Drosophila melanogaster: one gene and its partner. Changing the gene in region 2 together with the main gene of any one other region gives a genetic interaction. Each region holds a gene or a part of one and is shown on either strand. Other genes may lie near its edges.

Region 1 (5,013 bases), on a different chromosome or scaffold from region 2:
GTGCCCATTCAGTTCAGGGACCCCATCTACGGCACCATGAATCCATCGTTCACCGATTTCGTGGCACCTGGCGTGATCTTGACGTAGGTTTCATAGATATACATTTAATGGGAGAGTCATTAATGCTTTTTTCACATATTTTATAGCATTGTATTCTTCTTGGCTGTCGCTTTGACGTCATCGGCTCTGATCATTGAGCGCACTGAGGTAAGTCGAGAAAATCTATCCTCTTTTGGGAATAATTATAATAAAATTTGCTTACTTCCATTCCAGGGCTTGTTGGATCGCTCCTGGGTGGCTGGCGTCTCGCCCTTCGAGATTCTATTCTCGCACGTGATCACCCAGTTCGTGGTGATGTGCGGACAGACCACTCTGGTGTTGATCTTCATGCTGGTGGTGTTCGGGGTTACCAACAACGGCGACCTATTCTGGGTCATCGTGCTGACCCTGTTGCAGGGCATGTGTGGAATGTGCTTTGGCTTCCTCATCTCCTCGGTGTGCGAGCTGGAGAGGAATGCCATACAGCTGGCGCTGGGCTCCTTCTATCCCACCCTGCTGCTGTCTGGAGTGATCTGGCCGATTGAGGGCATGCCCGTGGTGCTGAGGTGAGTTCTTGTGGTATTACTCTGTTGTGAATGGAAATTTAAAAAATCTTATCCCCCAGATACATATCACTGTGCCTGCCACTAACGCTAGCCACCTCTTCGCTGCGCTCCATCCTCACACGTGGCTGGGCGATACTGGAGTCGGATGTGTACATCGGCTATGTGAGCACGCTGTCCTGGATTGTGGGCTTCCTGGTGCTGACGCTTCTCGTGCTGCGAGCCAAACGCGGCTAGGATCTTCAGATATTACGCTACTTTTAGATGCCTAACTTTAGAACACGATAAGTCGTCCTAATTAGTTTACACCCACTTCGGGTCTTCTTCTTAATTCCACTTTCGAGTTTCACTTCCCTTCGTATCTGCCCAAATGTCATAAATTATTTAAGCACATTCGCAGCTTTCCTTAGCTTTCCACTCGGCACTCGTTTTTCCTTAGACTAAGTTCCGCACTTTCGTAGTTTAAAGCGTAAGGTTTAGGTACTCCTAAATGAAATGTTGTAAATATTTTGTGTCACGAATTCAGTAATCCGTTGCTCTAGATGTCCATTATTTGCAACCCTCTGTACTAGACCTTTTCTCGACGCCGACACGGGCAGTTTATCACATACAAACGCAACTAATTTTATATATTTTCAATGGACTGTGATTGTTTTTTCTACATAATTCACGCGAATACACGTAGGGCAAGCCTAAACAAAAAGAAAACACAATGAAAACGAACAAAAACAATGGTGGGTTTTGTTATTAACATTAAGTAGCTTAAAGCATTTTTGTATGGGTTTAAGTTTTTTAAGGTAAAACATAATTAAATACAATAATGTACGCAACCCTAAAGAGTATGTAAAAATATATTTCAGGAAATATTTTGCGCAGAGCATAAATATTTCACAACGAACAAACATAAGACAATGAACAACGAACAAGTGAAAAACGTTCTTATTTAAGTAAATATTAATGTGAACGCAGTTATGTATAAATAATAATAAAGCGTGAATAAATAAATAAAGTTAAATTTAATTGTTGGTTTACTTACATTTTGAAAAAGATGTTCTCATTTTAACATTGGCGCCAATGCACTGTTACTGTTTTCTAGCATGTCCATAACAGTCTTTTAAATGCAGGAAATAACAACTCATTGTGACCAACTGGCTGGAATTTAATAAATATGTTATCACTTCTAATTTTCTCCAAAACTAAAAAGATAATTTAGCAGGTTAGTTCAAAATTTAAATATTTAACGATAGCTAACTTGAATACCAGGGCTGGTCGCTGGTGTTCCGCTTAAAAGCAGTTGTGCGCTCTGGTAACACTGGCGTTACAGCTGATTGAAATCATAACAAAAGAGCAATGTTTTCCTGTGTTGTTTATGCTTAAAAAGCGATTTTAGGCGTTATTAAGGACGCGAAAATGGACAAATCCAGGTCCAGTGCGTACGACAAGTTCGTTGGCTTCGTGGAACAACTGCGAAATACGGAATGCAGGTGGGACTGAACGGAAATTTGATTGTTTTCGGTTGCATTGAATGTTTTGGGGAGGGGACCGGCAACAGTTTGTTGCTCATTACGGAACAATATTGATTAAATTATGAAGCCCAGGTGATTTCCGGTGGTTTTATTGCCCTTAAGATGAACCTGCCAACTTGTTAGGCCACCCAAAACATTCATTCAACATTGAGCAATAAGTGCATCCGCTATGACGTCATGCCACATACCTGTAATAAAACTAATTTATTTCGAACCCCCCACAGCCAAAAGCAGAAGATCACCTGCTTTCAGCAGATTGCCGAGTGCATCATGTCGCCCTCGCTGGCGGGCCACATCAACTATGCCGCCCACTGCGGCACGGCCACGAATGTTCTGCTGCTGTTCTGCGAGGATGTGGATTCCGTGGTTCGGATGAGCGCCGAGGAAAACCTAAATAAAATACTGAGGTCACTCGAGAAAACCCGGGTCAGTCGCATTCTTATGGATCTGTATGGTGAAATTAAGCGTAATGGTAACCAGAGGTAAGGAGGCAAATATATTAAAGCTAAAATAACAATCTTAAAAAAGAAAAACTTTCTGCACAGATCCCTGAGGATTTGCCTAAACCTTTTCTCCTACTATGCTCCACAAATAAAGGAGAAACACATCAAGTGGTATGCCGTGAGATTGCTCCAATGTATGACCACCATTTCCCAGCGCAAGGAGACGTTGCTCCAGGAGACTCTTTGCGACTTCGTCAAGCACTTTAGCCGCCATATACAACAGGGTCTCAGCGATAGCGAATCCTGCAAACTGTTCGAGGTAGAATAATATCCCTAAACGTCTTTTCTTTTTATGTTTAAGCGTTTGTTGACTTTTGCAGACTTTTCTGGACCAAATTAGCTCCGATTGTGCCGTCAAGCGTCGTTGCTCTGCCCAAAACTGCATGAGTCTGATTGAGAATGCACGCAATAGGAGCCTCATGGCCAGACATGGGGTCAACAAAGTGATGGGTAAGACAGCTTAAATAGGAAATGAATTTCTGAGAGAAATACGAAAAATCCATATGAACACTGCATCCTTACTAGCAACTATAGCAAATGAGAAGTTCGTGAGTGCTGTTATTTACTATTAGAAAAGGAATTTAAATTCAGCAGAATGATACACTTGTTTCAAAACTCTAGGGTCAGCTGTTATTGTTATTTCGCAAAGAGTAACACCATTAAATTTAACAATATTGCAGCCTTAATAACAGCCTCTATTGTTTGTACACTTTTGGATAAACGTATTCACTATTCGCTGCTATCGCTGTTAGTTATTTAACGCATTTTCGCTACGACACTTTGTGTTCAACAGGACGCTCTTTATATTCACATCAATAATGAAAGAGATGTTTAAAAAGCGTGTAACGGCCAAATACTAAGCCTCGCATAGATCGTCATATATATACATATATTGTTAGGTTCGTGCTGGCTCTGCAGCTAAAAAATATTTTTAATATTCTAAAAAGCCGCAAATCCATGAAAAATACCTTACCAAAATGTAAAGCCATCGAACTGCGAACTACGCGAGCGCGGGAATAGATGGTTTTTGGTTTTATTCAAACTCGAATTGTGAATGCAATCACAGCCATGGGTTTGTTTGTCTGTGGCCTGTGGGCGCTAAAGGGGGCGTGGCACAATAAAAGTAACTAGACAGTTGATATAAATTATATTTCTACAGTGCTGTTGGTTACCATGCGCAATCGATGGACGAGCCATCGAATGTACGAATATACACACATATATTTTTTCCAGATTTGTTTTGATTTTAGGCAACGATAGCGGGCAGTTTTTATTTTAACATTTGCTAACTGGCGGACTGCAGCAATAACTGCAGCGGCAAAAACAAAAGTCATGGCAACGTGAGCCATGCGAAAATGCTTAAAAATTGCAAACACAAATCATTTTTTATTGAATTTTCATGAAAATATTATTGGCAAACGTCGACGAAGAGGTAAATGCACCATAGTTACGTTACATTTGCCATCGTCTTTTTATGACCTGCTGCATTGTCCAACAAAAAATTAAGTTCAAACCTCAGAGGAGCTCGGTGTTTGGCATTTGCAAACAATTGAAGTGATATACCGGACTGGGAAAACTAATTCATTTGCTAGGACTACCTTTATGGAAGTCAAAATTCTGACCTCGCCCAAGTTCATATAAATTAAGCTTCGGCTTGACTCTTCCTTTGCTCTTTTCTTGTCCAAATGTTTACCTTCAAATCAACTCCTTTAGCTCCTGTTCCGGTTTCTAGCTCTGCTCCTTTCCCTGCCGCCTACCGGTCTTCTAGTCCTGTGTCAACTTTATGCCACTTCTCGGCAAAGGCACAATGCCAGGCAACTCTTCAGCGCATCCTTATACAGTCTGGCGCCTCTTTTTATGGGCACCCATCATAGTACTTGGGCTGCCTGTGTTCTGGCATGCCCCAACAAACAGACACAAAGTACGGTGCTCAGACCTCAGAACTCAGAGCTCAGAGCCGGGATCCTAGATCCCAGACCCCAGAACACAGACCGCAGAGCCGCCCTCGCCCACGCCATCTCCGTTTGTTTGTCTCCCCGCCCGTAGACGAAATGAAATTTATGCACTTGGACACTTCCATGCAATAATTCATGCGAAATTGAATCAGATATTCATTCCTGTGCAGCTTTAAAGCGGATAATCAACGTTGTAAACAAATGCCGGCCGAACGAGGCCAGCAAAGGAAAGTCGGCAGATGCAAAGGGGAGCTGGCAAAATTTATGTTGCCCACTGACTGATGCCGAGCTAAACAAAAAGTGCAAATTATTTTCCATGGCAACTTGGTATGGCAGCACAAATGGCACAATGACCAATTCATAATCTGAAAACGCTGCTGATCTCTTTGAAAACGTACTCCATGGCCCCCAGATTGTCCACCTGGTC
Region 2 (3,734 bases):
CAGCTGCAGTACGGAGCCATTCTTGATCTCATTGCGATTCTTTTCGGTCACGTACTTTCGGTTAGTGGGCTCGTAGAACTGGAGTGCATAGTTCTGGTGATCGCTGATGGACCAACCATTGCAAATTTCCTGGATTTTACCTGCAAGCGAAGGCGGCATTAATACGCTGTAAATAGCAACTTCCTGACCAATTGTATGATTTGCATATAAATGAGAAAGAGGAAATGAGTGCGCTGACATCACGATAACACTTAAACATAGCGAAGGGCGTTGGTTGGAAGTTCCTCCCTTATGATGGGTTCCTTTGCTACTTTCAACATAATTCTGGTTTATTAACTTCTTGGAACTTTGTTTTACATGTTTAAAGCAGATTCTCTTTAAAACTGCTGCTCAGCAAGCGAAAAATCTTTGTTTTTATCCGCTATTTACTCACTTGCCAGCGGATGCCTTTGATCCAGATTTATCAACTGCGCTATATGGTCCTCTCGCTCCACGGCTATTTTCACAATGTGTGAATCCTTAACCGTCGTCTTTTTTGGTATCATTTTGGCACTCTTTCAATTAGCGATAATTGCAATTATTATTGTTTTTCTGCGTAAACTTATATTCTTTTTTTTTTTAATTCAGTGCAGTGTGACCAATTGACAAGTAGTATGGAATATCACACAGCACACAACCGTTGCGTTTTGTGGCATAGGCAACACTGGGCGGGAAAATTATGTGGATTTGAAATAAATATTTTAATGATAACAGCGCAGAGTAATTTCCTAGCTAATAAATGTATTAAAGTGAAAATAAGCAAGCAAATATGTTGTATTTTGTTTTATTTTATCGTCAGCAATTTAATAAGTTCACCGACAACCTTTACATTAATACTATTTCCCAGCAGTCGATACTTTTGTCGATTCGTTGTTTCTGGCGGAAATTCAAAATTCTCCGGAAAACTCATTAGACGAGCAACTTCCCGTGGCGTGAAATAGCGCAGTCTCACCTGGTGCAACAGGTCCAAGCGTTGCTGCAAAATCTTCTCCGACTTCGATGCATCCTGATTACTTGTGTCAATTTCCTTGACCAACTCGAAGATGCGGTGGGATTCGTCCTCCGAAAGCGGTGTGTATGCAGAGCCCGTGCCCTCGGTGTAATGGGTGTAGCCCTTTGTAAAGCACATGGATCTACTTTGAGCAGGATGTATTATGTCCATGACCAGCACTCTTTTGGTCAAGACATCGTCGGGCACCAGGAAATCGGGTGATACATTTTCCTCCACAATCTCGGCAATTTGTGAAAGACCCTGATTCTGGGCTATAGCACCCGGCATTTCTTCCCAGATCTTTCCACCGGCAAATGGAAAGTCTGCACCCTTGCGGGCGATGCAATAGTAGCGATATCGAGTATTTGGCACATTGAATTGCGTTGGCGTTAGAATAAACTCCCGCCAATGGAATCCCGACCGCTCCAGCGATTCAATAAACTGATTTCGCGCCTGTGAGCTCTCGAAACCCTTGACGTTTTCCATGAGTATGTACTCCAGTTCCTGGCACTCTGGGATCAGTCCACACAGATGAGTAAGTGCATCCGATCGCTTGTCTTCCGTGTCCCTTTGCAATCCCTGGCGAGTGTGGGGCTGACATGGCGGGGACATCAGCAGCATGTTGGCCTGAAGCTTTGTGACTTCCTTTACACTCAGGCTTTGAATATTCCTAGTTTTCACCAAATTACTGCCGTAATTGTGCGCATAAACCGCATTGGCCACGGTGTTGACATCCAAGGCGGCAACTATTTGTCCATCCAATTGGGCATCTTCAAAAGTATATATTAGTTTCGCATGTATCATGATCGACGAACTCACAATTAAAGGCATAATGCATGCCGCCAATGCCACTAAATAGTTCTAAGACCCGAAATACCATTTTAATTAAATATATTTTTGTTTACAAACTACACGTTGTGAGTGGCACGTTTTCCAACACTGCCCCACACAGCAGATTGTCTGCGTTTCCGTGTGATTGGTATAAGAAGAAGAATATCAACACGTGCCGCTCGCATTTTTGTGAATTCGTGATTCTCTCGGAATAATGATAAAAATTAAGCGAAAAACAGCCCCTCCGCCCGTGGAACAGGACTCGGACAGCGATTCCAGCTTTGACGAGGAGGAGCCACAGGATTTGGAAGTCCAGGAGGGGCCAGTCACTGATAGCAGCGATGAAGAAGCCGCCTCCAGCAGCAAAAAAACGGCCAAACAAGGGGAAGCCAGTGAGGATTTAAAGGAAGAGGATGATGACGACGATGAGGAGGAGAATGACGACGACGACGAAGAAGAGGATGATGACGACGACGACGACAAGAAGACACGAATTCCTGTTTTGAATCCCCTCAGCTGGATGCGCAACAAGGAGCAGCGTTTGGCGTTGTACAAAAAAATGAAGAAGGAGAAGCACAAGAAAAAAATGCAGGAGCGCCGTGCCCGACGGAAGGCTGGTGTACCCGCCAATCCTGGTCACACCATAGAGAGCCTGCGAGAGAAGGACCAAACAGAGGTGGCCAATCTGAACGATTCCGACAACGAGGAGTTGCAAAAGGAACTCCAACTGGACGATTTCAGCTCGTACTTCGAACGTTCGTACGAGCCAAAGGTGCTGATCACTTTTGCTGACAATCCGGTGACCAAGACGCGTAAGTTTGGACTGGAGCTTTCGCGCATATTCCCCAACGCCCTGGTTAAGATTCGCAACAAGTCGTCGGTGAAGAAGATATGCAAAAGCGCCGAGCGCGAGGAGTTCACAGACGTCGTGATCGTTAACGAAGATCGCAGAAAGCCCAATGGGCTGCTGGTCATTCATCTGCCCAATGGTCCCACTGCCCACTTCAAGCTGTCCAACGTGAAGCTCACCTCGGACATAAAGCGCGATCACAAGGAGATAACCAAGCACAGGCCCGAAGTGATCCTGAACAATTTTACCACACGTTTGGGTCTGACCGTGGGCCGCATGCTGGGTGCCCTCTTCCATCACGATCCCGAGTTCCGCGGCCGCCGAGCGGTGACGTTCCACAATCAGCGAGATTACATATTCTTCCGTCACCACCGCTACGAGTTCACCAAAGAGGGAAAACGCGTAAAGCTGCGCGAACTGGGGCCGCGGTTCACCCTGAAACTACGTTCCCTGCAGGAGGGCACATTCGACAGCAAGACCGGTGACTATGCCTGGATAATCAGCAACAAACGGCACGCCATGGAGTCGCGACGTCGCTTCTTCCTCTAGGTGTATTTCGAGGCATTGTATTTAGGTATAGAACTACTTAATAAACCAACAGTTAATACGAAAATAATAGCTTGATTGAAGAGAGAGGTGATAACCATTAGCGACCGCCGTATTGTTTTGTCGGTGATAAAATAAAATACAAATTTGCCTTAGCCTAAAAAATGTGCAACACTCAACAGTTAACCAATTGGCACACCACGAGACTATCGTGCTCCGTCAGCCACTACATGGTTGGGCACTGGGGACCGGGACCGCCGGCTGCTACGCCGGCAGTGGGATCGCCGAAGGGCAAGTCGCCGCCCGTCTCGGCCAGAATCTCTGGCGGCGGCTGGCCGTAGTCTTGCAGTTTGCGCATGTCGTCCAGCACGACGCGGAACTTCTCTCGCTTCACGGCGGCCGAATCCTCGGTCTTCTCGCTCTGTAAATGCCCCTCAATCACCTTGTACAGCTCCATCTGCTTCTGGTACCTGTATG

What was found.
Region 1: of Mt2 (region 2) and htt, changing one enhances a phenotype caused by changing the other (phenotypic enhancement), as found in Drosophila melanogaster (one study listed by BioGRID).

Annotation. Positions count from the first base shown.
Region 1 is NT_033777.3:28,694,320-28,699,332, forward strand, and holds the start of htt (huntingtin), read left to right. Parts: upstream 1-1,922; 5' UTR 1,923-2,012; coding exon 2,013-2,086; intron 2,087-2,352; coding exon 2,353-2,610; intron 2,611-2,673; coding exon 2,674-2,890; intron 2,891-2,951; coding exon 2,952-3,081; intron 3,082-5,013. Other genes in the region: snu (snustorr), read left to right, coding at 1-83, 147-207, 274-605, 665-839.
Region 2 is NT_033779.5:12,094,762-12,098,495, reverse strand, and holds Mt2 (methyltransferase 2), read right to left. Parts: upstream 1,972-3,734; 5' UTR 1,911-1,971; coding exon 1,850-1,910; intron 1,801-1,849; coding exon 824-1,800; 3' UTR 809-823; downstream 1-808. Other genes in the region: Ced-12, read right to left, coding at 1-140, 434-545; CG6712 (uncharacterized protein), read left to right, coding at 2,076-3,260; Pex19 (peroxin 19), read right to left, coding at 3,484-3,727.